2 linked regions of the Medicago truncatula genome follow. The protein of the gene in region 1 interacts with the protein of each later gene in a pairwise test. Links are inferred from orthologs where the notes say so. Each region holds a gene or a part of one and is shown on either strand. Other genes may lie near its edges.

The links.
Region 2: the proteins of serine/threonine-protein kinase CTR1 (region 1) and ethylene response sensor 1 interact in a two-hybrid assay, tested with the Arabidopsis thaliana proteins (2 studies listed by BioGRID). The link is inferred for Medicago truncatula from reciprocal best matches to the Arabidopsis thaliana genes CTR1 and ERS1.

What each region holds. Positions count from the first base shown.
Region 1 is NC_053042.1:30,646,628-30,663,458, forward strand, and holds the start of serine/threonine-protein kinase CTR1, read right to left. Parts: upstream 8,653-16,831; 5' UTR 8,433-8,652; coding exon 7,872-8,432; intron 6,721-7,871; coding exon 6,419-6,720; intron 6,333-6,418; coding exon 6,188-6,332; intron 6,055-6,187; coding exon 5,951-6,054; intron 5,741-5,950; coding exon 5,532-5,740; intron 4,762-5,531; coding exon 4,393-4,761; intron 4,306-4,392; coding exon 4,265-4,305; intron 2,593-4,264; coding exon 2,524-2,592; intron 2,435-2,523; coding exon 2,334-2,434; intron 2,233-2,333; coding exon 2,148-2,232; intron 2,027-2,147; coding exon 1,928-2,026; intron 1,105-1,927; coding exon 1,036-1,104; intron 935-1,035; coding exon 803-934; intron 1-802. UniProt on the Arabidopsis thaliana protein: Acts as a negative regulator in the ethylene response pathway. Phosphorylates the cytosolic C-terminal domain of EIN2, preventing the signaling in the absence of ethylene.
Region 2 is NC_053048.1:51,565,144-51,581,084, reverse strand, and holds ethylene response sensor 1, read left to right. Parts: upstream 1-8,248; 5' UTR 8,249-8,406; intron 8,407-8,808; exon of another isoform or gene 8,809-8,823; intron 8,824-8,989; 5' UTR 8,990-9,012; coding exon 9,013-9,921; intron 9,922-10,986; coding exon 10,987-11,355; intron 11,356-11,447; coding exon 11,448-11,714; intron 11,715-11,955; coding exon 11,956-12,083; intron 12,084-12,218; coding exon 12,219-12,453; 3' UTR 12,454-12,671; downstream 12,672-15,941. Other genes in the region: transcription factor-like protein DPB, read right to left, coding at 424-433; 60S ribosomal protein L19-3, read right to left, coding at 15,631-15,667, 15,755-15,828. UniProt on the Arabidopsis thaliana protein: Ethylene receptor related to bacterial two-component regulators. Acts as a redundant negative regulator of ethylene signaling.

The sequences.
Region 1 (16,831 bases):
ATCAGTATTTATTTTACTTCCAGATTTATTGTTGATCCCATCATTTCTTAATCTAATGAATAGACATCATGCGTAGGTCTCCTATTTAAAGTAGTGTTTCCTCTGTTGAAAAAATACAATAGCTTTTTCCATATTAATTTTAAAAAAATAGTTCAAGGATGCTGCAGGTTTGCAGAAGCTTCAAGCCCCTCTCCCCTCACCCAAATGGCCATGGACTCATGGGCATTTTCCTTTGTTATTTGATTTGATCTTTGATTATTGATGAAACTTATAGAATTATTTCCTCCATGCCTCTCCTCTCTTTTTGTCAATTTATTTTCCTCTTGGTTTCTTGTGTAATACCAAAATTGTCTTCTCCAACACTAGCATGCTGCACACAGTCATCTCTCCTTTAATGGATTATGCCCGTTATTCCTCCTTTTAGGCTTTCATACATCCGCAGGCCACGGTCCATTAGGCCCACTTATCTTTCTTTTAAATGAAGGCTTTTTTAATATCCATGCAAGTTCAACCAAACTAAGCATGACAGAATTAAAACACCTTCAACCACTTCAACACTTTACCTGTCATTGTTGGCATGTTTGATGCATGCTTCAAGCAATATATACATTTCTTGCAATCAGTTTCAGTTTCTATTACCAGTTACTTACTATTTCAAACTATATTGTATATTCATACTTTCATAGGTTTCAGATCTTGTTAATCTTCCATAAAAAGTAAAGCAATATGATTATAAATTTATAACAGAAACAATTAAGCATAAACATACTGCAATTTTAGGTACCGCGGGTAGACAACAAACCTGTGCTGGATTCAAATTACCCCATGGCTGTTGCAATGTTGCAATCTCCCACATGATTACCCCAAAGCTATAAATATCAGACTTCTCATTTGATGGCTCATCACGAAGAACTTCTGGAGCCATCCACTCAGGCTAATGGAGAAAAAGGAGTATAATTTAATGTTTATTTAAAACAAACCTCTGAAACATTAGACACAGAAAAGAGAAATATCTGTAAGATAATTTAAACTTACAGTCCCAGCAGCTGACTTGGAAGAGAGAAATGTGTTGGCCTTTAAGCGGGAAAGCCCAAAATCACAAACCTAGAGAAATGGCATTACCATTTTTAGCCCAAAAACCCATTAATATCCAAGAAAATAGATCACCAGGTCAATCTAATCCCCCTATCTCTTAAGAAAACAAAAAAGAAAGATTCCACAAAATATATATGTTATATAACACACTCCACATGTTTTCTTGTCAACTGGATTTTCAAAAGTGTTCCAGATTTGAATCAAAACAAGCATAGCTAGTTGGCAGAATGCTGAAACTTCTATTCAACTATGTGAAGGTAGAGTAAGTTTTGGAACAAAATCAAATCTGCCACCAGTTCATATGTAGTTCCATATTAAATCATAATATCAAATCGCACAATTTGTCAAAAAAAATTAAAATACCAATTAGCAATTACTTATAAAAAGAAAACCAATGAAATATTTGTTTATTCATTTCTTTATCTTTCTAGAAAAATATAAAAGGACCATTGTATGCTATAGCCTACATGGAATCAACAGTGTAATTTTCATTTGGCGATGAATTCAAAACTCCGAGAGGTGGGGGGAAGAACACTGCTTTATCCCCCAATCATATCCAGACTATCAAAGTAAAGGCTTGATAATTATCCAAATAGAATTACACTAATCATATAACACACCTGACTACTTTGGAGCCATTCTAGGCCAAAAAGAGATGAACTTTGGAGACTAATTACAACCTTGTATTGCTACAACCATACAAGACTGTTTGCAAGAGAGGGATGCAGAAAAAAAGGAAGAAATGGAATACTACTTTCAAGGACAACTATGATTTTCATAAAATTCTTAAAAGTTAAGAGTACTAGATATAGTACAGAATCTTCACTGTTACCTTCACTGTGTATTTCTTGTCAACAAGAAGGTTTGGAGATTTCAGGTCTCTATGAACAATGGGGGGATTACGCTTGTGAAGATAATTCATCCCTTTTGCCTGTAAATGAAAAAAAAAAAAAAAAAAGACAAATAGTTCAGAATGAATACAACCATTATATCATATAACAAATTCCAAAATTAATAAAAACAAGAAACAAAACATTTGTTTAAATGCATACCACATCGTAAGCCATACTAAGCCTGCGCCTCTCATCCAACACTTCCTTGGCACCAGGTCTATGCAACAGCCGGTATAAGCTACCCCTGCACTTAGTTCAAAAACTGTTAGAATTTCAAGCTACCCTTTGGAATATTCCATCTTTTGGAGAAAAATAATTAGGGACAGCTAGAGACATAGAGCAAACCTTGATAAATATTCGGTGACAATTGATAAGTTAGGAGGTTGAGTGACTGCCCCCATTAATAAAACAATGTTTGGATGCCGCAAATGTTTCATTATTGCAACCTGGCAAAAGAAGTTAGAATACAATTCAAAGACGAGCTCTCAATTTCTCTTTTGGGGGATTTTCACTTGGTTAGAACTTTCAAGCATACCTCCCTCATGAATTCCTTGAAGCGTTCTGCATGAAAATCTTGCTCCATCAAAATTTTAACAGCAACATCCTGCAAATTAATAATGCGTTAAAGAATGAAAAAATATAAAACAAGCAAAAAGAGAGAATAAGCAAGCAATCATGAAATAATTAAAATAGAAGACTATGTCTGCTTTGGACTTTAATGAAGAAATCCCAAAAAAAGAGTGTCACAAAATATGTCTGCTTTGGACTTTAATGAAGAAATCCTCAACATATATGCATTCTAAATCATGACATGGGCTTAAATAATTTGCGAACTCAGAATCAGAGAAGAAAAAGGCAATAAGTATTAAAAATATGCGACTGTAAGCTTCATTTGTTCACACGAAATAAAATGTTAGATATAATTTGTTCGATGAGAAGATTAAGGCTTGGTTGTTGTTTTTGTATAATTTGTTCGATGAGAAAAACATCTATTGGAAGATTTCTTTTTCTCTTTCAAATAAACTTCTGCTCTTTTGACGTGTAACTAAGTGAGAAAAGATATGGCAATAAAGGTCAAATTGTACTATAGTCACAAAGCTAAGGAGAGAATAGGATATATGATGTCAATAGGTTGCCAATAACCAACATGCTACATACTAGTCTCTCTGCTTGCATCAGACAACAAGCCAAAACAGTAAGGTATTAGGTTGATGGCAGTTGGGCAGAAGTCATAGTTTGAAATTACACAGGTAGGTTGTTATGAAATCAATCTTTTGTTGAAGAATATTTCATATACTCAAACAATTGTTGTCCATCAAATAATTGTTTTCAATTGACTAGACACGAGTACAAAAAAATTTAAAATAATATTGGAAGCTACCATTTCAGGAACCAATGGAAGATGAACAAGAATTTTGATAACATGCTTTATCTACATCAACATATATAACATTCCATATATACATACATTTACAGGCAAAGTGTTTCTTCACAATAATTATAATATTTGGTCCAGCTAGAAAGCACACCGCGTACTTTGGAGACAATTGTTTAGTCCCTTGATAAAATTGTGATCAATAAAAAAATACATAATTTGGCATTTGATCGTTAGTTTGTTTTAGTCCTTATAATATTTTGTTCAGATTAATCCAAATATTATAGAGAATAAAACAAAACAACAAGAACCAAAAGCATTTTTTTATAGGAGACTCAAATGGGAAAACATTAGAAGATCAAAACCAGAAAGAGACATATTTGCAAGGACTAATGACATACTTTAGCCTACTTTCAAATACTCAAATACCAGTTGAGTCTTGACTAATTCATAAGCTGTAATGTTTTATGAAACAAGCTCCCAAAACATAGAAACCACTGAACCTTTGTTAGCGACTACTACTGTTCATACACAATGATAGTATTCTTGTACTGATGTATTAAGCACAAATATAAGTAGCATTACTTGCGAATGCAAAAACACAGTCTGCAAAAATCAACGAAAAGAATGTAATAAGGGCTGGACTTATCATCGTGTTGTTGGACGGGGACTTGTCACCTGTCCATTTGCTTTTGTACTATACTTGTACTTGATATCAATTATTTGCATTTAGTATAATTAATGTTTCATATAACGATATATAAATTATTCAGCATCTCGTTAAATATAAAATATCTTCTCTTTTTCATTCCTTCCTTATAGTTTCAACAAAACAAGTCAAATAACAATAATTAGATTTATTTATAAAGCATCAATGTTTAAAATAAAAAGAGTGGCTTACCGAACCATTCCACTCGGCACGATGTACAGTTCCAAAAGAACCTGAAATACAATATGTCATTTTCAAGTAAATGACTACTGATATTAATTGCACAAATCATGCCACTACAATTTATAAACAAAATGTACCTGATCCTATTTTTTCTTTTAAAACAAGATCACTCCATGGTATGGCCAAATCCTCCATGTCAAAGGCAACCTCTCGAGTAGGCTTGCTAGGAATTAGTTGACTTCCTTCAATAAACCTCCTACCCTCGATGACATCATCATTGGCAATAGCAACAGGACGCTTATGCTTTAAAGGCGGCGGATACTTGCCCACAGTTGTTGATTCTATAATGTTCTGAGGAGGGTTACATAACATATATGTTTCAGAAGCTTGATCAAGTGTACTCGGAAGAGGAGCTTGCGGATACAAAGCAAGGTGAGAATTTATGTTGATGTCACTTGATATTGGCCTAAGGTTATTACTTTCATTGCATTTCCCATCCAACTGTTCTGAAATGGAGAATCCAAACTCTGATTAGAAAAAGTTTCTGTGATATCAAATTCAGGGTATCCTATACTAGCACCCAATTCAAACATTTAATTATAACTTTACAATCATATACACATAATTGCATATCATATTACATGATCAAGTGCAAAATTACAATTACTTGACTTGCAAAACGAACATTTATAAGAAGGGCCTGATTTTATGAACTCGCAAATTTATCAAACATTAGATCAACAGCTCAAAAGCGCATACTCAACAACCAAGCATTATCCCACTAAGTAACAATGCAATAAGATTCTATTATAAATCATATTCTAGCCAAACAATTGACCTGTAAGTTTTTCTTAATAGCTCCAATATATATATATATATATATATATATATAGACACACACACATAAACTCAAATTTAAATATGCAAAGAGACTAAGAGCTGATTTGTATAAATTTCTCCGTAAGAACTTATGGAAAATGGAATTAGCTTCTGCTTTAAATATTTTTCAGAAATTGTCTCATTTAACTTCTTCGTAAACACTTATAAACTTATAGGGATTTTTCTATAAGTGAAGCCACAATCTTATTTGAAAGTAACTTGCTTATGGAAGAAGTTTTTATCACTCGTTAAAAAGTTGGGGGAGAAAAAAAGGAACTGGGAGGCCTGGATCTCAAATTCTTGATAAATGCAACAATATGCTCCAAGTAGATCCTTCTAGAGACCAGAAGCCAAGATTTAGAATAGCACAAATTTAACCAAAATATCTGAATATTACCTGCTGAACTGTTGTCGAAGAAAAGCTCAAGAGACAGACAGTCTGAGAAATACTGTTTGGCTAGTGACCTGAAATCAATTGTAGTTTCAGCTGGCTTAAGTCTTGGAAAGCGCAAGGGTGAACAAAATGAGATGGAAGATGGACCATTGAGCAAGGAATCAGGCTCGGATAAGTGTCCTGGCTTCCCAATTAAATCAACAAGATATTCCCTGACATTAGATTATGTAAGAGGTGAGGTGACAGGAATATTACTCTAATGAAAATCTATTTAAAATGTCAATGTCGATATACATTATGTTAACCATTGATCTCCAGTCCTTTTAAAATTTTCCATTCCATGATCGTTATATATAGCTAATGAAATTGCAGATAAACTTATAAACAGAAAGGTATGTATGCTTGGAAAATAAAGCGTATACCTGTCAAGCCCAAATCGAACAAGACAAGAAGAAGCGTCATCTCTTTTACAATATTTACAGCCCTTTGCAATTCGACATGGTAAATCAATAGCATCAGCTAGCACCTAAAATAATAAATATATAACAAGTTATTCAGAATTGCTTAAATACAATCCACCTCCGGTGAACAAAAACTCGTCAACATAGTCAGCATGTGTAATCACAACCTTAAACCCCGACAGAGAAGTGGAGCCTTACTTTGAATAATATGGCGCGATGCCTGCAGAGACCAACAGATAGACTACCTATGGGAAAAACAACAGATCCTAAGCAATCTTTCAGATTATTGCTGCAATCCCTCCAAAAAGATAGAAACTCATCCTCCCCAGCAGAAGCTGAACCCCTTGTTATAGCAATAAAACACAGTTAGACTGACATGACCGGATAAAAAGCTAAATAGGTCGGGCCATGAATGCCAAGAAGGCTCACCCCATACAGTTGCAAACCAGCTTGGAAAGCTGATCCACAACCTCTGTTGTTGTTATGCTGCTACAAGAGATGTTATGAACCATGTTTTGCAGTTCTCTCAAGCTGGCATCACTGCGCCGATCCACCAAAACTACATCAAGGGAAGAATCAATGCGGGGATGTACAGACTTTAGAGTATCAACTGATGGGATTCGGCTGTTTTCCTGCAGATCAGTGCACACAGTCCATACATAGGAATCCATCCCATGAATCAGATAAAAGCCATCAGGAATTTTGTCGGAGTATGATAGGCAGCCATTCACCTGGTGTACATTATAAATAAGATACAAAATCAACTTTCACATATCTAACAATAAGAGCATCAAGTCTATCAAGATGAAACAAGTTACAGTTTCCACCCTCAAATTTCAGTGGTCGGGTAAAACAAAGAGAGGAGGTCTAGTTTTTCACTCAATAAATGATGATTATACGCAACGCACGTTCTACTCAAAGCAACATTGTTAAAATATTAATTAGCATTTTCAAGATGTGTCGGTTTGACTCCACAAACATCATATTTTCCAATGTTGATTTTTTATGCAGTGTAAAAATAAGATACACATTTATTTAGAGATAAAAAAAAAAAAAAAAAGTCAATTCAAGAATGAGAAATATGATCATAGCATTTAAGTCAGACAGTAATAGAATACTGAAAACCATTCTTTCCAGAACTCCCAGCAAAGTGCCAATCAAATGTGAAAACTGAGACTGCATGAGATAGTTTCCTCAATCAATGTGATAGCTAGTGACAAATGGTTTTCCCAATGAACTAGCACCAAAAAAATATTGAAAAATAGAACCCTAATATCCAGAAAACTCCTATTAGACTTCAACACTGTAATTCAAAATTCAACTCTATACCATATAACAAACAAAACACAACTTCTTAAGAAGATTTTATACTAAACCAAATCCCATCCATTCAAGTCAACTGCATCCTAAATGAACTACAGAAACTTTGTCCTCCAAATTTGTCGCCGTCAACCGAAAATTCGGTCATCCCGTTGACACATAACAGAGAAGCCGACAAACCTATATAAATTCAGCCCTATATAAATTCAGCATATACGACGCTACACAGCATTGCCTTAATTTGGCTTATATACACAAGTAACCACAGTACACCCATAGTCAAAATATATCCATAGTCATTCACACACCTTGTCCTTATTTTCATTAGTTATCACAATTCACAATCCTCTATAGCACTGACAACTCTGATGAAAGGCATGTCCGGTGTCCGACACCACCATGACACTGATGCGTGTAATTACATTCAATTAATTCATTTTCTCAGATTATTACCGTGTCTGTGTGTGTCAATGCTTCGTAGTCACATTCACAGTCAAAGCCATTACCAGAATCAAAAATCACAATTCAAAGCAACACAATCAAGGTACAACAAACAACATACCCAAAATCGATGCGAAACAGCCTCAGCCGATGCCGAAAGCCTCGAAGCCGCGTCATCTGGCACCGGATCCAGAAAATTCGGATCATCAGCACAAGTAGCATCCGACGATAACCTCAAAGCCAGCGCAAGCTGCAACTGATAACTCTCCTCCGTCTGCTGCGCCCAGCTCTTACCAGACGATCCCCCGTTCCACGCCGCACTTTCCGCCAACTTCCCCCTCACCTCACCAACCTCATGCAAATAACCAAACGCATCAACCTCACTAGCCGCCACCGCCGACAGATTCTGCGCATAATAATCACCGCCGCTGGCTAACGAACTTTCGCCGTAACTACTTCCACTCGACTGCCGCTGTAATCCGATCGATGAATACAAATTCAAATTCCCGATCCGATTGTTCCCTTGCCGATGATCGCCGACTAACTCCCAACCGCCTCTACTAGCTTTTCCGTCGCTCGACGACGACGGTGCCGGAGCACTAGCGCTGGCGGCGTAGGAGAATTGATCGTCGGGAACTTGACTTAGAATCGAGTAATTAGATCTTCTAGCAGGCATTTCCATTGAAATCAATCACCGTTTTGGTTTAGTTATAAAACCCTAAAAATCTTCATTGTTGTTCTTCGTTGAAGTTTCTGTTACGTTATTCTTCGTTTTCCTTTTTCTCTTTCTAGAATCTGGTAACTGTTAAGTGTGAATGGTGGAATGAATGAAATTTCTCTCTCTGAGTTCCGGGGAGAGAGAAATCAAAGTGACGAAGTTTTTTCTTTGTTTAATTCGGTGGCGCTATCGTAAATTAAATTATTTTCAAAAGTTTTGGTATTTCTTTTCCAAAAATGTTTCATACATATCACTCAATTTTGTCTACAATTTCGAGTTTTTTTTATTGTGTATTTTTCTCAACAATTTTGAGTTTTTTTAATTGTGGAACTTCGAGTTCATATTAATCATAAGGCTAAAGTATGGATTTTCCTGCAAATATGTTTCGTTTTGGTTTTAATCTCTATAAATTTTTTTTGTTGTTTTTGGTCCTGCAAATATGTCTCGTTTTGGTTTTGATCTCTGACTCCACTTTTGTGATGATTTACGCACGTGACACATGATGATTGAACCCATATTTAGAAAAATAGTCCCCGCAAAATATTTTGATTTTTAAAAAGGTCCTTGCAAAATATTTTGTTTTTGAAAATAGTCACAACAAAAAAAATTTACAGAGACTAAAACAAAAACGAAGCATATTTGCAGGACCAAAACCATATTTTAGCCTAATCATAATCGAAGTTGTGATTTGGTTAAATATATATCTTTTTTAAGTAGTTTGTTTGTTAAGAATTAATCTCTTGAGATAAATAAGTGGAATATATGAAATTTGAACCTCCCCTTTGCATATATTATGAAAAATCAAAGTCACTTAGATAAACTCACGAGAATGGTATATGTTTAATTTCGATCATGATAGAATTCGTAAAATTTTAGTTAATTATGTAATTGAACTAACCACAATTCTAATTATAAATTAATTTACTTAACAAAGTTAATCATATTTTTCAACATGATTAATCGGTATCTTTTTTTTATCAAGTAGTCAAAATGGTTGAAATTTCACTCTCGAGAATGAAGAATTCAAAGTGTGAATATTGATCGTGTGTATTGTGATTTCCTTGTCAATTGATTTACAATAACATAAATAAATTGATCTTTACATCTTTCGGTCACTATTATAAAACCATTTTTTAAATTCATTAAATAAATAATATATTTGATCTAAATATTTACTAAAATGTGTTTCAAAAAAGTAGGAGAAGATTTTTATTTATAGTAATAATCGGAATATATGTCTGTGTAAAAAAATGATGTTCGATTGTAATTTATTATTGGGTCTTGTTAATGAGTGTCTCTGAAATACTCTTTAAACATACTAAATAAAGTAATTATTCTTTTAAAATTAAAAAGTTTTTAATTTCCAATACACTCATTACACAAACTTTTATAAAAGTTACTATCTAAAGTTCAAGGGCATTGGTTAGTTAACATTTCCCTTTATTATTTTCGGTGGGCAAAGCGGTATTTGGTTCACACGTTGGCCGGTTCAATTCACCTGGTGGTATTTTTTTAATAATATAAAAATATGACTTTTTGTTTTTGGATGATAATAGTAGAAAAAAATAATTACAAATTTTTTAATATGCAAGTTGGATTGAATTGATTAAGAATAGAAATGAATGATTTAAAAATAAGAATCTAATTACAAGTTGGATTTTTCTAATTTGTACTTGACCAGCCTTACTTTAATGTATGTTGTCATAACAACTTTGCAGTGAGTTCAGATTACACACGCCTTTAAACAGATATGGATATAGTTGTGGGCGAAGTTGAATTTAGCATATTTTTATTTCAGCTTTCGCATGTGACCCTTCTTGTACGGGTAAAAATAGAACATGAACTTTAGTTTGGTTTGGTGGCTGCTAGTGATGGTGATATACGGCCAGGTTCATAGCGGTTTGGATTTCGTGATGAAATTCCTTCGATGAAGAAAAAAAAAATGTTAATTTATGTTGTTATGACATATGTTAAAAATTATATTGATAAAAATTATGTATTGAAAATTGTGTTAATTTATTGTTCGAAAGGTTTAATATTAATTTTTCCAAGAAATTCTTACCATTATTGGAGTGTTTAACATGTGTCTTAAGGACACAAGTTAACATAACCTAAACAATATAGATGTTTTGGTTATTGTGTGTGGATAATTTGGAATGAACGAAATAATAGAATATTTAAGAATATCCAAACTAATATTATAGGTCTTCTGGAAAAGGTTAAGCAGGATTTCTTTTTGTGGCTTAAAGCTAACAATGTCACGTTTGTTTATGGCACGATTAGATGGTGGTCAGACCCGTTACTTTGTTTGGGTATCGACTAACCTGTTTATTGTAATTATACTGTGATTGTTTGCCCTTTGGGGTTGCTTCTTTAGTACACCTTGTGCTAAATAAGAATCATCGCCGTTGTTAATATATTCCATTTTTTATTCTTAAGAAAAAGAAGAAAAAAAAACAGAACCCAAAAAAGCATCCATAAAGAAGACACTCATTTTTTGGTACTTAAATGGATCTCATGTGTAGATATCACTCATTTATAAAAAAAAAAATTAAGGGTCTTGCTAACCATTGTCCTAAGGGCAATGGTTAAAAATCTCATTAATAGAAACTTTCTCTTGAAAATACAAATCTTTACTTTTTTCTTATCAATCATTACATCACTTTTCGATGCAAACTTACTTATTTAAGTACTTTAACCAATGTCACAATGACAATGGTTAACATTCTCCTTTTTTTAATAGTAATGCCTAATAAGTAGTCAATCTTTTCAACCCATATCTTGTTGGAACAAAATGTGTTTAACATTACCCTTTGAGAGTTTTGATGATAACAAGGTATTAAAAATTGTCAATTGGATATGCTAATATTTGTTCAAGTGTGCAGGACCATATGCAAGGTTAAATATTTTTGTAGGTTCTGGAAGAACAAATTAAGAGCTATGGAATCAACATAAGGGAAGCTTGAAGCGTATGAAGAAAAGTGCTCCTGAAGTCAAGTGCTCATGAAGTGATGACATCATCAGAAGCAAGTTCATCAGAAACTGAAGATCACCAGAAGCTAAAGTTCATCAGAAGATGGGAGACTTAAAGCTTCAAAGGCTGTTATATGGATTCAATCTCGTTTGAGCATTGCAGAAGACCAGGAGAGTGAAGCAACAATTAATTCAAATGAAGTTGAAGGCATTGGATTCTTGCTTTTTGAAGAGTGATGACAAAGTACAATTGTACGAAGTGTACAACCACTACCTCCACTACTTAGTATGTGTCTCTGCTACAAGACAAGAATAACAGCTATGCCTGCAACAATGTTCCTTCATACTTGGAATGGATTTGAAATTGATCATTCATAGGACAATAACCATATCCGGCAAAAGATCATTGGTGATTGATCAAAGCTTCAAACGACTATATTTTGATGTGCTGGAAATTCACAACGTCTTTTTCACACCTCTATATAAAGGAGTGAAGACTTAGAGAATGGCAAGGACTAAACAACAATTTACAAGTGCCAAAACTCTGCTGAAATTGTTCTCCATCAAAAGTTCACTCAGAATTTCTTATCAAAGTTCATATCTTAGAAATTATAGAGTCTTAAGAGTCTGTATCTGATTTGTACTGTGAACACCATTGATTGTATATCAAGTGTTCAACCTCAAACAATTTTCTTTGTAATTCTGTTTGAATAGAAGTCTCTTGCAGTTGTGCTTGAGCATAAGAAGTCTCTTGATTGTGCTAAGGAGCATAGAAAATCTCTTGTAAGTTGTGCTTAAGTAGTTTGAAGTCTCTTGCTAGTTTTAGCAGTGAGCAGTTGTGATCAGATATTACATTTTAGTGAACTCTCCTTGGAAGTGCAAGGGGGACAGGACTGACTTCCGGTTTGTGGAAGGAACCTGTATAATTGCTTTGTATCTTTCTTCTCTTTCTCTCTGTTTTATCCGCTGCAATCTAGTTCTGAACATCACTTCAGAAGTAGAACATTGTTCAGAGTCTAATGCAGCGAATAATGTATAGATAGAGAGAAATAAGATAAAGACACAAGCAATTATACAAGTTCCTTCCACAATCTGGAAGTAGTTCTGTCCCTCTTGCACTTCCAAAGAGAGTTCACGAAAATCAATATTTGATTACAAATGCTCAAACACACAAGCAAGAGACTTCAAATACTCAAGCGCACATGCAAGAGATTTTCTATGCTCAAGCACAAAAGCAAGAGACTTATAAACAAACAAAATTACATATAAAGATGTTTGGTTTGAACACTTGATATACAATCAGTGGTGTTCACAATACAAATCAGATAAGACTCTTATTAAGACTCTAGAATTTATAAGATATAAAAGTTTATAGAAATTCTAAGTTTTGATGCACAAAAATTTCAGCAGAGTTTTGATACTATCAAAACATTGTAGAGTCTTCACTTCTTTATATATAGAGGTGTGAAAGAGACGTTGAGAGGATGTTAGCACATAAAAGAGTCGTTACCGAAGCTTGATCAAATCACCAATGATTTGTTGCTTGATTTGGTTAATGTCATAGGAAGGAATAATTTGAAATTCATTCCTTGTTTGGAGAATTAACCAGTGTAGGCACAACTGTAGCAATACTATGTGCAGACATGATAGTGGAATAGTGGAGTAATGGTTGTACAAATGTAGTATTATCCTTTTTCTGCGCTCTTCAGTGGATAAGCATACAATGTCTTCTAATTTCTCTGAAATAGCCATCGTTCCAGGCTTCTGTTCCTTCTGCAAACTTGTGTCTTCCAATAACCAACTTTAACTAACTCCAGCTTCTTGACTTCAAACTCTGATGAACTTCAGACTCTGATGACGTCAGACTCTGGCAATTAACTTCTGATGAATCTTCAGACTCAGACTTGCAACATAAGCTTAATATATATACTTAGTTTTGTGATGCATACTCATCTTTCTATGGAGGATGAATATGCATGAAACATGAGTGACATTTATGGTGGGACTGATGAAAACATTAAATCTTCCCCATCTCTAAGACAATTTACATAACCAGTACGCATATGCTCTATATTATTTCTCGAGCCATTTAAGTCTGTCACAAAATATAAAATTAAGGAAATCTAAGACAAAGTAATAGAAGAAATAAGAACAAAAATTTGCATTTTAGAGGGGAAAGTTTTTTTATGTGGGACCCACCCAAAGAACACTTTCTTTCCTCTCTGACGGTGCAACCAAACAACGGAAACACGAATTTTGATGAACTTTCTTTCCTTCCTGCTTTCTTTCCATTCACCTTCCCTAGAACCAAACAATGCCTAAGTCTTGCTTAATAACGGGTGAAGTGTAATTTTGTCCAAAAAAATGGGTGAAGTGTAACATAATCAGAGAATCTATACAATTAGCTCTCAACGTTGTTGTGTAGAGAAGCATTCTATTTATGAAAAATGTGATGGTGTGTAACATTCAAACATTTCTTAAGACAATCTCTTATGAACTCCAGTGGTGGTGTGTAACATTCAAACATCTCTTTAAGATAGTCTCTTATAAACTCCAGTGGTGGTGTAGAGGGATAATTATGAATTTTATATGGTCACAACAATCATTATTAAGATAACCCAATTGAATTGGTTTGGTAGTGTTGGTTTGTGATTTTGGTGTGCTTCAGCTCCTCTCAAGATCTTAAGTTCGATTATCTCCCGTGTCAATTTTGATGGACAAATTTTCCTTTTTCAAAAAAGTTTACATGTTCTAAAACGAGCCATTGTCAAGTAGAAGAAGGAAAACAAATTGCACAACAAACAAAATCTAGTAATTTTACTAAAATGGTTTGTATTCCAAAACGTATGAAAAAAAATTCAAATAAATAATTAGTATTTTTTTTATTAAAATTCTATAATGAACTTTAAAAAGGCTCGATTAAAATTTGTCTTAGGCTTCCATATGTAATAGCCCGACCCTGGGAATTTGTACAAGAATGATTAACAATAATTTTTTTTAAGGAACAGTAAACTTTTTATTGGTTTTCTCCACTTTGCTCACTTGAAGAAAGGGAAGCTCGTGACTGGTCCTGACCTTCACACAGAACTCGTTGATTTTGAGACGGACTAAAAAAATGTGGTTGCTAAATTTCAATGTCAAGAGAAGAATTTTTCTGAGCTAGGTGTTGTTTTACGAGATGGTAGAGCATTTTGTTATGTCCATGGTCAACACTATTATGTCGAGTTTATTATAAGACAAGTCAATAAAGAAGTCCATGCTTTTACCAAAGCACCCACATTTTTACTTCGTATACACATTTTCAATTATATCTCCACATGTATCCATGATATCGTGAAATGTTTTTTTTTTTTTTTTTAAAATTATTAATAAAATGTTATAAGCATCATTTTGTAATAAAAAAAAATACTACTTGGCATAAAACTAAAAAAGAAGCGAAAAAATTGTAAAAATGATGATAGGAAATAATTAAAAGTGAAAACAAGAATGTGCGAGTCATTAAATTTGTAAAAAATATTTCATATTTCTTTTTTTAAATACATTTTTATTTTAACTTGTTAATAACAAGACATGTGACTCTTCCTTAAAAAAAAAAATGCGTGACTCTTGAAGTGAATCAACTCCCACAAAAAAAATCACAAAACCGAATGTTAGTATATGCTTTTAGATTTCATTTTGTGGTCCTCGTGAACTTAGCTTAGTTGGTAAGAACAATACATAATATATGCAAGGTCTGACTGAGGTTTGTTCCCCAAATAACAAAAAAAAAAAAAAAAAAATCGTTTTGTGAAAATTGCAAGACTGAATCAAACGGCATAACTAAATGTATCACTTTTTTTCTTAGGTAAACTAATTGATTACTTATTTATTTATTTTACTTGTATATTGTATTATTATATTGCTTGTTAATTTTCAATTTTTTAAAATAACACCTACTAGTTTAATTTAATCTATATTTTTCCTATTTCATATGTTTCTCGCATAATTAAAAGCATTTTTATTTGATAATGTTATTTATATTTTTTCTTTTTAAGTTTGGTATCCGACTCAAGGACCGGCTAATTAGGAAAATCAATTTCAATGTCTGCTAACGAGGGACTCAATTAAAGTCAGACCAAAGCTTTTTAGGAAATGATCAATTGAAGCCGAAATAGATGATCAAACATAAGAATTGTTAACACCGGATGAGTCAAACTCGAGACCTAGATTTTTTTTAATAAGTTTTATGTTATATTATAGGCTAAATTACGCCGAAGGTCCTTTAAGTTATTTAATTACAATAAGTCAGTCTTTTAAGTAGTTTTCGTAACACTTAGGTTCTTTAAGTTATTTAATTGTAACTTTTAGGCCTCGAATAACTTATATTTGTAAGACATGAAATCTCCAAATTGTTACGGGGAAATAACTTAAAGAACCTCATTGGTATAGGAAAAAAAATCTTAAAGGACAAACTTGTAATAATTAATTAACTTAAAAGGACTTAAATGATACGAAAAAACTTAAAGAATCAATTTATTACTAGTGTAATTTAGCCTATATTATATATCAAAACCATTAATTTACTACGTATGTGTAATATTAATATTAATAGAATTTTTTATTAAGCTGAATCAAAACATAGATATTCAAAGAAAACCAATACAGATTAAATTGTTTTTAATTTGATATCAATATTAATAGAATTTTTTATTAAGCTGAATCTCCTACATGGTTCGTTTCTCTCTTGATAAAGGTATCCGTCGTGATCAGTGATCACAACCTCTACTCAATATAGTGATTATTTCAAGTTTTTAATTTATATAACTTGTGTTCTTGCAACCCTGTGAGATACAACTTGTCAGTTGTGTGTTGTGTATAGCTAATAATTTTGTTTAAGAGAAATGTTAGAACACTCACTTTTAAATACTCTCTAATATTTATTATTTTATTGGATGAAATCATCGTCATCTTGTTTTGAGTTCTATTTTAAAAATGTAATCTCATAATGTTTATGTGTTTTTTATTGTATTTTCTTATAACTTATTTATGTCAAGTAGTACGTTATTTAATATATTTTCATTTGATTTTACTTATATTTTGGATATTTTAATTCATTTTGAGTATATTGTGAGATACATTTTATATATTTTGATTATACATTTTATATATTAATGCAAAATATAATTTGTAATATATTGTAAAATTAGTGGGACTCATTGTAAGTTTTGTAAGAGTGGTATGAATATTTAGAAAATGTAGTTGAATGGTTTAAATAATTGAAAAGTGTGAACTAATATAAAGTAGGCTTAAATACCTTTTTGGTCCTCTAACTATTTAATTGGTATCAGATCGGTCCTCTAACTAAAAATTGATTTATTTCGGTCCTCTAAGTTTCTCCCCGTTACTACATT
Region 2 (15,941 bases), on another chromosome or scaffold:
AACACCGATCGTAGGAGTGTCGAAGTAAAGAAAAAAATAAGTATTTAGGACACCGGTTCGACACGTGTCGTACGAGTGTCATAGGAGTGTCGGACACCGCGACACGCCTAGTCGTAGAGGTGTCCGTGCTTCATAGTTCCTTTCAGTTCAGGACCACCCAACTCAAAAATGCATTACTCAAAAACTTTCACATACATACTACAAACGCATGCATTCCATTTCACCTACAAATTTTTCAAAACCAACTTTCAAAGGTTTTTAGAAGCACAACATTACATGCAAATTACACATAAATTCATAATCAAGTAAAATTAGAAAATAAACATGTAAGTTTCTGTTCAAGAACAATAAAGGAAATTGAACACAACCAGAATACACATTCACATTGAAATCTCTAATTCTTACAATCTATTCCCACTTTACCCATTTGCATGCATGATCCATGAGCTATTCACATGATCATGGTAAAAATAACTACTGAATATTCATAAAACTCTTCCAAAATCAGCTCTAAACAAAATATGTAGAAGAGAGGGAAGTATGGAATGCCTAAGCCAAAGCAATTCTCTCTTCTTCTTTTCCTCCTCGCTCTCTTTCTATCAACTTTTCCACTTTTTTTTCTTTGCTGCTATGTGTGAGGAGAGTGAGTTTTGTTTGCTTAAAAGTGAGTGTATGTGTGTCTGTCACGTAGGGAGACAAGTTTGGTTAGTCTTATTTGTTTCAATTCCTAATCGATAAATGATATTTTTAACTTTTTAGACCATTTTGTGACACATCTCAATTGTAGTTATGTTGTGTGTTTGGTAAAAAGTACCAATAAGTTAGCTGGTAGCTGATAGCTGAAAAGCTAACTTATAGCTGATGGTTGATAGCTGATAGCTTATAGCTAAAAAATTAACTTATTAAAATAAAAAGTGTTTGGTAAAATTAGCTGTTGAAGTAGCTGATAAATATAAAATGACGTAAAAAGGGCATGTTTGTGTTTTTTTTTATAAATCATATACAATTTTTATTACTTAATGTATTTCTTTTTAAATGTTTAAATTTATTTCAAAATATTTTCATCTCCTAAATGATAAATGTATTTATTAATTCAATTGATAATTTTTATTTAACAAAATTTCCTTTTCATGAATTTTACTCAACTAAACTTGCATCACTATTTATCGTAAATTTTATATAAAATTATCTATAAAAAGGAACGTGAACAAAAAAAATTGAAAAGCCATATCATGATGCTAAACGTGGGCAGTTATGGATTGTTTTTCTAATTCAAGTTAAATTAAACTAAATTAATAAAAATTTAAAATTGGAAGAAAATATAAAAAGTTATAAGCTCAAAAGCTACTTGAATTAACTTCTCAAAAAACGCTATAAGCTAATAAGAAAAGTTTTTTACCAAACACGTTTCATTCTACAAAAACTAGCTTATAAGCTAGTCCAATAAGCTATAAGCTAACTTTTTTGTGTTACCAAACACAGCCTTATTTTATGTCCAAGTTTCTCTTTTTATATTTTTTTTCTATCAACATTTACATTTTTTTTTATATCATTAGTTTTTTCATAAGTTATTGTAAAAATAGTTATTCAAATAAAATATATCTTCCTACTTGAAACTTTTTATTCTATGATTAATTTTTACATTCAAATTTATTTATCAACTCACTTTTATATGAATATAATCAAACATAAATCACTTTACATTCAACTCAATTTTAAGTTGAATCAATTTTTATCACCACATAACTAAAAATATACTTAGATTAGTTCCTCAAACTAGAAAATAATATGATTGACAACAAAACTCTCTCAAGACTTTATGGCTGCTATATTTATCGAACTTGATTCACTAGAGCTTTGTTTGGGATTTTGGAGCGGATGAGAAGGGAAAACTTTGGAGGGTTGAAAATATGAAGAAAAATGATAAAATGTTTTACATTTTTATAAAGAGTAATTTATTAGAGAATGATAAATTAATATTTTTGATTAATATTCTTTTTGTTTGTTAAAAAAAATATTAATATATTTTTAACTTTAAGAATTTTATAACTACATGTAAACCCTCTCAAATTCCCCAAAACCCTCCTCCAAACAATTTTTTTAGTTCCCCAATATAAGAAGATTTTGTATTATGAATAAAAATAAACAACCTAAAATCTCCCCCTCTTAATGTCATCTATTTCTTCCACTTGATATTTTTTTTCCAAACCTCTCCTTCCCTTCCTCTCTAACTCACAAACAAGGAAAATGATTCATAAACACCCTTTAGCCATACCACTTTTGTACACACTCCCACGTGGATGGCAGCTTTGAAAATTTGTCAAAAAACAAGGGATAAAATTGGGATTTCACAAGCCCTTTTGTTCTCACACTCACAAACCTTGTCTTTGTTCACGTTTTTTTTTTCTATCTTTTCCTCTTAACTCTCTCTCCATTCCTTACAATGTTTCAACGTTTCAATTCTCAATTGTAGAAAATGGTTCACTTGGCGGAGCATTGTTCTCCAAGTCCAGAAGTGTAAGAACTATATTATTTTTCATTGAAGGATTGGGTATTGACAGTGAAATTTTGTTGGAGAACTGGATCAAAAAATAAATACTTACAATTGTGTGTTGCCATTAATGACTCTGCCTAATTCAATTGCTAAATTAGAACACCTTCGTGTTGCCAACCTCTCATATAACCGCAAAATCAAAATACCTCCCCAGTCAATTGGCAAACTCATAAGTTTGCAAGTTTTGTCACTTTGTGGTTGCCTAAATCTTCAAACAATCGGTGATGGAGGAAGAGGACGGTGGTGGTCGGTGATGAAGGGAGGAGAATGATTGACGGTCAATGGGGTTGTCGCCGCCGTCCGGTGGACGGTAACCGGAAAGAGATGTGTAGAGATGGCAGCTAGAGAGGGAATAGACGTGGAAGAGAGAAAGGGAGGATGAGAGAGAACTGAGATTGAAACTTTTTAGCAGACACTTTGTATGAGTATTTAATATTATTTTTGAAGTGTGTATAAGGTAATATGCCACCTATGTATGTATACCTATCATCACTCCACAAACAATGTCTAAATATTCGAACAATTTCATTCAAACACTTGAATTTGTAAGTGGTTGCATTGTACAGTGAAGAAAGTTATAAATCATTTTAGAAGATATATAAGAAAATACAATTGTTCAAACAACATCATCCTAAACATAAAAACTAACACCCCGATTAAAAAAAATCATTTTAGGACATATGACTCCGGCATAAAATATAAGTAAAGTGATATTTAAATTTAGGGTTAATAGGTCTTTATCCCCTGTAATACAGGTCATTTTCGATTTTCTCCCCTGTAAAATAATTTTTTTGATTTACCCCCTGTATTTTTTTTTGTTTTGATTTACCCCCTAATAGACCAAACAAAAACGAAAAATTCTGGAAAAATAAAATAAATTCATTTTTGTTTGGCCTATTAGGGGGTAAATCAAAAAAAATAAAATTACAGGAGGGTAAATCAAAAAAAATATTTTATAAGGGAGAAAACCGAAAATGACCTATATTACAGGGGGTAAAGATCTATTAACCTTAAATTTATATTTCATTCAAGAAAGGGTAAGAGCTGAAATTGTTCACTTTAATTCAAGAAAGGGTAAGAGCTGAAATTGTTCACTTTAATTTAGGACATGTTACCACGTCCACTGTAATTTAAGGAATGAGAACTACAATGTATTGCATTATTTAAAGGCTAAAATATGGTTTTGATCCCTGCAAATATGTCTCGTTTTGGTTTTAGTCCCTGCAAATTTTTTTTGTTGTTTTTGGTCCCTGCAAAATATTTTGTTTTTGGAAATAGTCCCTGCAGGGACTATTTCCAAAAACAAAATATTTTGCAGGGACCTTTTTCAAAATCAAAAGATTTTGCAGGGACTATTTATCTAATAAATGGTTAAGTCATCATGTGACACGTGTGCAAATTATCACAAAAGTGGAGCCAGGGACCAAAACCAAAATGAGACATATTTGCAGGGACCAAAAACAACAAATTTTTTTTGCAGGGACTAAAACCAAAACGAGTTATATTTGCAGGGACCAAAACCATATTTTAGCCTTATTTAAATATAAAAATTTAGATAACATTTTTCTTAGAGATTTTTAGGTAACATATAGCTGCATGTGACAAATTTTAGAGATTTTCATGTTCAACCTAAACATCATGTTGTTTTTTAGAATTTGAAATTTGGATCCGCTCACACCAAAATTTGTCTTCATCCCTTTCCACCAATTTATATGTCTCTTGTCTCTCTGAATTTTGTCCAATGTAAATGATTTTTACCATGTATTAGTGTGTTTTTATGGTTTAACCATTGAATCGATAAGTGGTATTATATTTCATTTGATTTAATGATAAAAATGTTCGTAGTACATTTATTAAAGAAACATATATAAAAATATCGTATAAGGAAGTGGTGAGAAATCATTTTAAAAGTCAGAAAATTATCGCTTTCAATAAAAAGTTTCAATTTTTTACTTTTTTATGATGGCACTAGTTAACATAATCTATTTTTTTATCCAATAATAGAAATTAACTTATGATACAAGATTTGTCTCACTTAAATATCAAATAATAGAGTTCTCTAGTTAAAATTTGTTTTTCTCTTAATCTTTTTATCAAATTTTACCGTCTCTCTCCTTCCACGGTCTAATTTTTTTCTTTTTTTGAGAGGGAGAATATCAGGGGCACACAACTCAAACCAACTAGTATAGTTTCTTTTTCTTGTTTGTGCTCAAAACATAATCAAACTTTATCTGAATCTATTTAGCAAATTATTCTAATTTTAAAAAATGCTTATCCAATCACCAAATTTGATATTGCGTACTTCATATTAGGAGTATTTTTAATCAACTTATGGACAATCAAAGATGTACAAGGCAATGGGTACATTGACACGAAATTTAGACAAACAAAATATTTATAAAAAAAAAACTAAAACAACCTCGCATGAAGGGTTTTCAATTGAGTTGTTAGAAAATAATTGTTAAAATATTATTTCTCTTGAAATATAAATAAAGGCTAACATTGGAATATGAAATAGAGATAAAAGGGAAAACTATGTATTTTTAAGACAAAATTTTATTAAATATATTTTTTTTTTAGCAATAAAATAACTTTAAACAATTGGCAGCATGATCCATAATACTCCCTCCGTTTTAAAATGGGTGTCGCTTTAGTCAAAAAAATTTGTTTTAAAATGAATGTCACTTTCAATTTTCAATGCAATAATAAATTTTTCTTTTCAATTGTATCATCCAATTAATACTTTGCACACTACTTCCAAAGTATTACTTTTAAAACTAACCAATAGTTAATAAGGATAATTTGATAAAATAATCATTCTTTTTTTTTAATTATTGCATTTCTTAATATGTATGTACATGCACGAATCCAAGTAGTAAGAAATGGGGGCACTTGACCCACTTACTTCATTTTTTTAAATCAATAATGGGCAATTTTTCTCTTTTTATCAACAATAATGAGGATTTTTTATACATTGACCCCACATCAAGTTTATTAATGACCCCCCATTAAGTTTATTAATGTCCTCGCATTATATAAAAAACTCCGTTTAATTTGGCTCAATTTTATCCTTACTTTTTTTTTGGAGTATATGAAAACAACTCAGTGAACAATAGAATTTGCATGAAATTAGCGATATTTCTAGAATGATAGTTGAAATTAAAAAACATTGCTTATGCAATGATGTATTTACTTCTAAAATTTAGCATTATTTTTTTTGCCTTGCATTAGTTGATTGGACTTTTTCTCAACTATGAATTTTATGAAGAATCAAATGTGCAATTGTAAAAGGGATGAATTTTGAATGATTGCTTGGTCACACTCATAGAGAGTAATATGTTTGATAGGTTTGAAAATGAAAAATAAAATAAAAAAACACTTTCAACATATAAAAACATGTAGAGAACAATTACAATCCTTAGATATTAAGATGTCTTTAAGTTTCGGATATTTGACCCAATTTCTTGAAATTTCTGTATCCGTCTCTGTGTGTAAATATCTAAAACGACACTTATTTTAAAACAAAGGGAGAAATTTACTACTGATTGTTGTGGTCTTGGAGGCAATGATGCATGCAATTTGAAAGCGCATCGGGAGAGGGTGACAGTCACCGAAATGCATTGTACATAGTCCAATGAATCTTCTTTCTTTTTTTACACATACTTTTGCTTTCATTTGACTACCATATATTCAAATTAATAATTAACTAATAAAGTGGGTATCGTAATTGAATAATTATATGGGTGTGTTTGTTTCAAGTTATAATTGTTGATTTCCGGAAATAAAATGATAGGAATGTATATGTCTATGTTTGTTACAAGTTTATTAAATTTTATTCCCGGGTATAAAATGTTTCTGGGAATAGAAAAAATTTCCCAAGGAAAAGGGTGGGAATAAAGTTCCCATGGAGATGAGAATAAATTCATAAATAGTTTACCTATTATAATCCATATTTTTATGGTTCCTAGGAATATTATAAAGCTAACCAAACATATTTTTCCTAAATTCCTTGGAATAAAATTTCCATCTTTATATTCCAAGGAATGTTATTCCTAGGAATAAATTTGATAAACTTGAAACAAACACACCCTAAGATTACGTAAATTTTAATTTAGCAACGGGAGACTGATTAACAAAAGTATCTAGATTAGATTGCTACATTGAATATTGTGATTAAGGTTTGAACTTACGGTCATCTTCATTTATGCCATTCTTCATTTTTACTATTTGCAGAGATATAGATATACAAAATTTTAAAAAAAGCAAAAAATAATTAATGATGGTGGGACCTTTTTTGCAGTTTTGGTCCAGGCCAATTTTGACCAAGTCAATGCTGATGTGGGGCACGTGTGTAATTATTTTATTTTTTAATTATGAAAAAATAATTTTTTATTTATTTTTTAATTAAAAATAATATTAAAAATTAAATAAAAAGTAAAAAAATTACACACGCCAACGTTGAGTTGGTCAAAATTGATCTGGAGGCCAGAACTGCAAAAGGGATAATATTCAGGGGGCTGAATTATTTTTTATTTTGTTAGGAGGCCAAAATTGCAACTTCATAATACTTAGGGGGTCAAAAATACTATTAAACCAATAAAAAAATTGTCTAAAAAATTGTCCCAATTTATTAATTTGAAAATTGAAAATTAATGTTTTGTAATAAATATTTACCATTTATAAAATCCTTAGTATATAAATTAGCATGACCATTTTTTCAATTAGTCTTATTACCGGCAAGTGTCTTGAGGATGCTTTTAAAAGATTTCAAATGAAAAAATTACAGAGTATTTTTTTTTTTTAAAATGTAAGTATTTCAATTTAGCATGCATTTAAAATACAAATTTTCACAAAAAACTTATTATTAAAACACCTAGTAAAATTATTAAGGGTTAAATATATTTTTGGTCTTTAAATATACCAATTCGTTTTAGTCCCTATAAAATTTTAATATAGAATTTATATTTTCGAGTTTCAAACATCAATTTTAATATATAATAAAACAATACATTGTTATTGTCAACTAAGTTATGCTCACGTGAATCAACTTGGCTTCTATCAAATAAGAAATGATATTTGTACAACTATTTTTGACAATTTTTAGACAACTTTTTATTTCATACTCACATTATATTCTTAATCTCCCTCTTCTTTTTCCTCTCTTCATTGTTTTTAACCAATAAAAAGGAGGAAAAAGAGGTTGTCAATAAAGTTGTTAGCAAATGATTGTTCAAATATCATTGCTCCTATCAAATCACCTGGTTAATATTTGTAAGGCTAGAAAAAAAAATCTTTTTGAACCTCTGGAAAAAAAAAACTAAAACCAAAAAAAGATACATTTCCTTTTATGATAAAGAGGGAGAATGGTGGATAATTTACCCCAACCAATACACATTAGTCACATAAGCATATTTTTAAGTGGTATCTATGAACTATCTTGACACCACTAATAAATTGCTTATTTTTATTGATTGGTGGGTAAATTATCCACCATTCTTCAAATGTATTCTTCAAATGTAATCTAGAAAAAACCCATAAAGAGGTGATAAGAAAATGATACAGGTATAGGACGTCGTCGCACGTGTGTGTAAAGTAAAAAGGATAGGAGAGTGAAGAGACGCGCGCGAGTGGGGAGTAATAAGAGTTGCCATCTTTGTCTGTCCGTGAAATACAGAGACCTTTATACTTGAAGTCTTCTATTTTTCCCACTCACAACACAAACATAACACTCTCTTCTTCCCTTTTTCTTTTACTTCTTCTTCATTTCATTCATATGAATATGAATGAAGTTTCCGCCTAACCTATTTGGCGCCTCCGATCACTCCGCCGCCTGATCTACCTCCCTTCTTCCGGTATTCACTCTCTCTATCTATAATTTTTTAATCATTATATGATCCATTTAATAATTCTCATTTAGTTTATTTATTTATTTTTTTTTATTTTTTTTAATATGATACTCATACAATTAGCTTCATTTCCAAGCATTATTTTATTCATTATACTTGCTTCTTTAGATTTGCTTCTTCCATTATCCAATACTATTATTTAATATACTTTGTTATTTCATTTCTCCTATACTATTTTTTTTATAATTTCATCATAAAATTCCAGTAATTGTTGGATCTCATAAGTAACATATTTAGATTCGTGTTGTTGGATTTGTGATTTTTCAAACTATTATTATTCACTTTACTCTCTAAAAATCTCACCTACTGTTTTTTCTTTTTTGGATTGCATCAAACTCAATAACTCAGATTGGGTTTATTTATGTAAGTAAATTATTGATTTTTATGTTGTTGTTCTCTTGTTCTTGTTGATTTTAAACTTGGAATACACTTTGATCTTCAATACATTGCAATTTGTTTTTTTCTTTTCTTTCTTTTACTTTTTGTTTTTGAACCCGTGATGACAACCTATGCTATGTTGCTTTTACAGATCCTTTCATGTGGGGGTGTTAGATGATGGAGTCTTGCGAGTGTATTGACACGCCTTATCCCCCAGATGAACTTCTTGTCAAGTATCAATACATCTCCGACGTTCTTATCGCGCTAGCGTATTTCTCGATTCCGGTGGAACTCATTTATTTTGTTCAGAAATCTGCTTTCTTTCCATATAGATGGGTTCTTATGCAGTTTGGGGCTTTTATTGTTCTATGTGGTGCAACTCATTTTATAAATTTGTGGACATTCTCAGCTCATACGAAAGCTGTTGCTGTTGTAATGACGATTGCTAAAGTGTCGTGTGCTATTGTGTCATGCGCCACTGCACTTATGCTTGTTCATATTATTCCTGATCTGTTGAGTGTTAAAACCCGTGAGTTGTTCCTTAAGAACAAGGCAGAAGAGCTTGATAGGGAGATGGGACTTATTCTTACCCAGGAAGAAACTGGAAGACATGTGAGAATGTTGACTCATGAAATACGGAGCACGCTTGATAGGCATACTATTCTAAAGACTACTCTTGTGGAGCTGGGTAGGACTTTAGGATTGGAGGAATGTGCATTATGGATGCCATCAAGAAGTGGTTTGAATCTACAACTTTCTCATACTTTAACTTATCATGTACAAGTTGGTTCTACTGTGCCAACAAACCTTCCTATTGTCAATGAAGTCTTCAGTAACCCGAGAGCTATGCGTATACCACACACTTGTCCACTTGCTAGGATAAGACCTCTTGTCGGAAGATATGTGCCACCTGAAGTTGTTGCGGTTCGGGTGCCGCTTCTACATTTGTCAAATTTCCAAATTAATGATTGGCCTGAGCTTTCGGCAAAAAGTTATGCAATTATGGTTCTTATTCTCCCTACTGATAGTGCTAGAAAGTGGCGAGACCATGAGTTGGAGCTTGTCGATGTTGTTGCAGATCAGGTTTGTTTGATTTCTTTTATTTTATTGGTTCTTTTTTTTCCTGAATATTTTCTATTCCGTATTTCCGTTGTTTTCTATTCCTTTTCTTTTGATTGCTTAAACACTCATATTCATTGTCATTGTGCCTGTAAGTTCTGTTCTGAGTCTGACTATCGCTGTGAACTTGTTTTGGAGTTTGGAGCATAGAATAGTTGAAAATTAGGAAATGGCTATCAATCATTGGCCATTTGGGCTTTATAGTTATTTCTCAACCATCAAGGTAGAAGACAGAATATGACACCTAGTAACTTAAGTAAAGAACCATATTAGGAATGCATGTGGAGTATGCGCTGAGGCCGCTGAATCCCAATAAGTGGCTAAAAAAGGGAGGGCAGGTCATGTAATTATGAAACCTGTGATATTTGTATTTAATACTTTTTGTCTGCATAATTCAACCTCTGCGATATAGTTTACACATGGATTCCATCTTATGTCGTTTTCTTTTCACTTAATGTTGTATCCGAGCCAGTCTAATTTTGATTTTGGCCATTGAAGATATATGGTGGCTCAATATCAAGATTGAGATAGGCTCGGGTACTGTACTAAATTTAAGAACGAGATTGGAAAAATGGGGTAAACAAACACGTGACAATGTCTATTTACTTCTCTTAACATCAAATATTGAAATAATCTGATGCAGATCTGTCTAGGATAAATCTACAACAAATGCGTGTGGGACCTGACTTTTAAGTGTTTTATTCCCTTTACCTGCACATGCCTCCTAATCCGAAAAGACCAAATTAAATACCTGAAACTTTTCATTCAATTGTATGGCTTTTAGGAATATCATTTTCTTTCTAGATTAAATTACCATATTAACTGTGTTTGAAATTTGCTTTTGTAACATTAGATATCGCGCCACAGTTGCTGTTTCAAAATGTCGCCTACATTTTCTAGTGCTGACATGGCATTTGTTTCCTCACATGCACCTCAGATGTGGGGACATGATTGTGTTATTATTCATTTCAAAAAATTTACTTGAGATTCTATTCCTCCGTATGATGAATCCATTTAGTTTCCAAACAGGTAGCAGTTGCCCTTTCACATGCTGCTATTTTGGAGGAGTCCATGCGAGCCCGGGATCAACTCATGGAACAAAACGTTGCCTTAGATTTAGCTCGGCGAGAGGCTGAAATGGCAATTCATGCTCGCAATGATTTCCTTGCAGTCATGAATCATGAAATGAGAACACCGATGCATGCAATTATAGCATTGTCATCACTTCTTTTGGAGACTGAACTGACTCCAGAGCAGAGGGTTATGATAGAGACTGTATTGAAGAGTAGTAATGTTTTGGCAGCACTTATCAATGATGTTCTTGATCTGTCCCGACTGGAAGATGGTAGCCTTGAATTAGAAATGGCAAAAATCAACCTTCATGGAGTTTTGGGAGAGGTAATTTCAAGAAAGCTGAGATATCTGTAACATTATTCGTTAACATCTACCATGAACAGCATTTATGTATTGCTTTTCTATTGTTAATGCAGGTCATTGAACTGATAAAGCCTATAGCATCTGTGAAAAAACTACCCATTACTTTAATTCTTGCCCCTGATCTACCTACTCATGCCATCGGTGATGAAAAGCGGCTTATGCAAACACTTTTGAATGTTGTGGGCAATGCTGTCAAATATACTAAGGAGGGATATGTTTCTATAAGAGCTTCTGTTGCAAAACCAGAATCCTTACAGGATTGGCGACCTCCTGAGTTTTATCCAGCATCAAGTGATGGTCATTTCTATATACGAGTCCAGGTTATGACTTTGGCATCTCAATATCTGAACTTTCTATCCATATGTTAATGTGATTGAATTCTTGGGTTATCTAAATAATTAAGTCATCTAGATCATCCATACCTACATTTCTAGGAAAGAACCCAAAGATATCTCTACCTTTTCATTATGTTATCGACTTATCGTTGTAGCAACTGTTAGAAATTAATCTAGGTATTGATTTCCATCTCATGACTGACCCCAAACATCCTTCTTTGTGCAGGTTAAGGATTCTGGATGTGGCATTCTACCACAAGATATTCCACATCTCTTTACCAAGTTTACTCAGTCTCAGAGTGGACCTGTTCGATCTAGCAGTGGTTCAGGTCTTGGACTAGCCATTTGTAAAAGGTAGGGAAAACATAATTTTGATGTTGATGCCTAGCATGTCACCATTATTTCCCCTATGTGAAATGCATATTAACCCTGCTGCTTAAATAGAGTAGTTTTTGTTTATTGAATTACTGACTCTCAAAATTGATTCAGATTTGTAAATCTCATGGGTGGGCACATATGGATGGAGAGCGAGGGTCACGATAAAGGAAGCACAGCTACATTTGTAGTCAAACTTGGGATTTGTGGCAATGCAGATCCATCCGATCATCAAGCTGCAAGCAGAGGCCAAGCATATAGTGGAAGTGGAGGCCTTGCTAGATTTAAGCACTTAGTCAATGATGACGACATAGGTTTTTCTAATAGACGCAATCAAAGAAGTTTCTGATATCCAAAACACCAAAATTGCTTATCTTTATATCAATGTCGACTGGCTATACTAAACTCTCATTTTGCAATATGCAAACTTGTATGATTTGCTGTTTGCAGCTATAGATTAGGATTAATGTGTCAGACATATTTCTAACAAACAGATCTTATCTGAACCCCTATCGTATTAACTAGTTATACAATGAAACAAATTCAGAAATAATCCATTGCTTAATATAACTTGGAGCAGTATTTTAGGCAATGTTTTTAAAATTGGATTGAACCCGTTAGTTCAACCATTGATTTGGGAACCGGTTAGTTCATCAGTTGGTTTAACCCTGATTATATTGTAGTTTTATTGAACCGAGTTAAACTGGTTGAACCACAATTGGTTCAACTGGTTTTATTTTTTATTTTTTTAATATCTGCTTGTCATCCAATTTAACCATAGTTGAAACAATTGAAAAATGACCTGAATATCTTGCCGGTTTGATTTCAGTCCCATTTTTAAAACGCTGGTTTTAAGGAAATGATGCATATCAGCCCGAGTCTATTACCCTTTGTCTATCAGTGTTTTGGTTTTGGTTTTCTGCCATTCACTCGCATTTAATCTCTTTGGTGAAAGAAGTTGTACTACTTCCTAATATGCATAGTAATTCCAATTATTATGAACTACATTATTTTGACACAAATTTAACATCTGACATTGTATAAACAAACAAAAAAAATCTCTCTCCTCAGACAATGAAGATCAGAAAAGGTCACTAGCTTAGAATGTATTATATATATATATATATATGGTCTCCAATACGCTTAGAATGTACTATATATGGTGTCTGATACACAATGTTGATTTTTTGTGTCTCAATAATAGTTATTGCTTAAATGAATAAAAGAGATGGATTATTGTGGAAGTATCAAGAATCATTGCTACAGAAACAGAGATTCTAGTTTATTTAAAAAAATCAACTCAAATGTCCAGTTCTCTTCTTGTTGCCAATGCTAGCTTCCCTCGAGGTATGACTGAATAGTCATTTTAAATTATGTTTTACTTGTTAGTGTGTGATTTTAAATTTAGCAAATATTAAGTTAGAAACATGTATTGATTCAAAGTATTCAATCAGAGTAGATATCGACCTCGTGAGTTTAGCTCAGTTGGTATGGACAATGCATAATATATGCAAGGTCTGAGGTTTGACCCCGGCCACCACAAAAAAAAAAAAAAAAAAAATCAGAGTAGATATCATTGTACGCAACTGCAGAGATTAATCTTCACTACAAGACTTGAAAAAAATAGTGAAGAATTGAAGCTTTGATCCAATCAATAGTGAAGAATTGAAGCTTTGATTTAAGAGATCCTCTTCTTCACTACAAGACTGCCAAAATTAGTGAAGAATTGAAGCTTTGATCCAATCAGAGTGGATGGTATTGTTTAAGTGAAAATAAACCTTCAAAATCCCATTTATCATCCCTGTCACGGTCCTTGAGTTGAAGCTGGGTATCACTAGTATCAACCAAATTACAAAGTTTTTCAAAACTATTACATGAGAGCACCAAATAGTAAATCATTAGCACCAACTCTATATTAAACATAGCCCTCTTTTAGAGCTAGAGTTGCTTTTTAAATTTAACTCCAAACTGGGGAGTCTTTGATGGAATAAACATCTAGGGTATTGATTTTGTAAGTGGAATTAAACTTTAAAAAACATATAGAATTAAACTCGGATCTCTTAAATTAAGGCTCTTTTTTTTTTTTTTTTTTGAGGAATCTTAAAAACAAAGTTACGAAGAAAAAGAATAATTAATGATAACCAAGAGGAATCTCCAAAGGATATTAATATTTTTCTTATTACAATTTTTATTAGTCTTTCAATTTCAATCATGGTTATATCGGAACATTTGGATGAAATGGCAAGGAAATTTTTTCCAGATTAATTAGAGGTATTGAATTCAAATTCAGCTATAAAAATTCATTGGTGTTAAATCTCGTGAGAGTTTTGTTCGTGTCACCTCGAGAATTAGTCTCGTTAGTTGCTCATAAATGATATCTAACTCAAAAAAAATGTGAAGATTGTTTGTACAAAACAACTTATATAACTAATATCATTATTACCTCCGATTAATCATGAGTACTAAGCTCGTTATATACAATTAATCAACAGAGGTTGAAATTTAACATAACGAGCTTAGTACTCAACACTGCAGATTTAACATGACAAGCTAGTACTCATGATTACCTCCGGTTTCAATATACATATTTGACCTTCACTCTAAGCTCTTTAACTTCATCCGTACACAAATCAACAAGGTCATACACAATTCAATCATGGTTATATCGGAACATTTGGATGAAATGGCAAGGAAATTTTTTCCAGATTAATTAGAGGTATTGAATTCAAATTCAGCTATAAAAATTCATTGGTGTTAAATCTCGTGAGAGTTTTGTTCGTGTCACCTCGAGAATTAGTCTCAGCATCTACCTCTTCTTATGTGATCTGTTTGCAAAGTTTTCCTTCACTACAAATAGCATCACCTTAGTTTATATGTATTCAGAGGATTTTAAGCCGCAACAAGGTATATCAAGATGCAGAGGGTATATCAAGAGGTAGATGCTGCTAAGCAATAGATGACATCATGAAAAGAAAAAAAAAGGTAAAATAAGAGTATGGAAAAAAACATATGCATCATGTCACAAGTGCCATTTTCTATCAAAACTCTTCCATTTGTAAATTAAGCACGGACAATAAGCTTTATTCCATCATATTGAGTCGAAGACAATGTTATATTTTAACACAAGCTTTATCCTATCATCGATTATTTTTCTTATCTTAGTCTACAAACGACTTTGATACTAGTGTTTCGTTAGACAACTACAATAATTGCATGTAATCTTGTATCATTTTAAACATAATTCTTCAATGGTAAAAATAATTAAATTGAGTTGGGGCTGTGGAAGTTGAGATCAATAAAGCCATTAGCAAAGTATAAAAACATAACTAGCAAAGTATAACCAAAGTGTTTCCGCAACAAAATCATAACAAAAACAGCAAAACACCATTTAGAACAGGGACTATTATAAATTCATACACCTGATAACTGAAAAATTAAACAATGTCTTAAACCAACAAAAAGACTCGTCAAAACTACTTTAGAACAGCAACTGAGGATGTCAGCCCAACAATTCTGCCAAGCAATCTCAGACTGCAGCGGCCTTCTTTGATTTCTTTTGCGGTCTGCACAAAAGATATTCGTTTAAACAATCATGCATAGCAGGGGGGAAGGTAGTAAAATACATTGTAAGAATAAATTATAATACTCACTGGGTCTGGGTTGGCTTTGTTGCAGCAACAGGTGCAGCACTAGGAGCTTCTGCTGGCTTCTCTCCTCCAGGACCCTAAATATTTTACAAAGAAAAGGCAAAATCTCCATTAATAATTTCAAAAAGAATGCTTGTTAATATACTAAATCCTCAAATCATATACATTAATACTGTCAAAGAATTTCAAG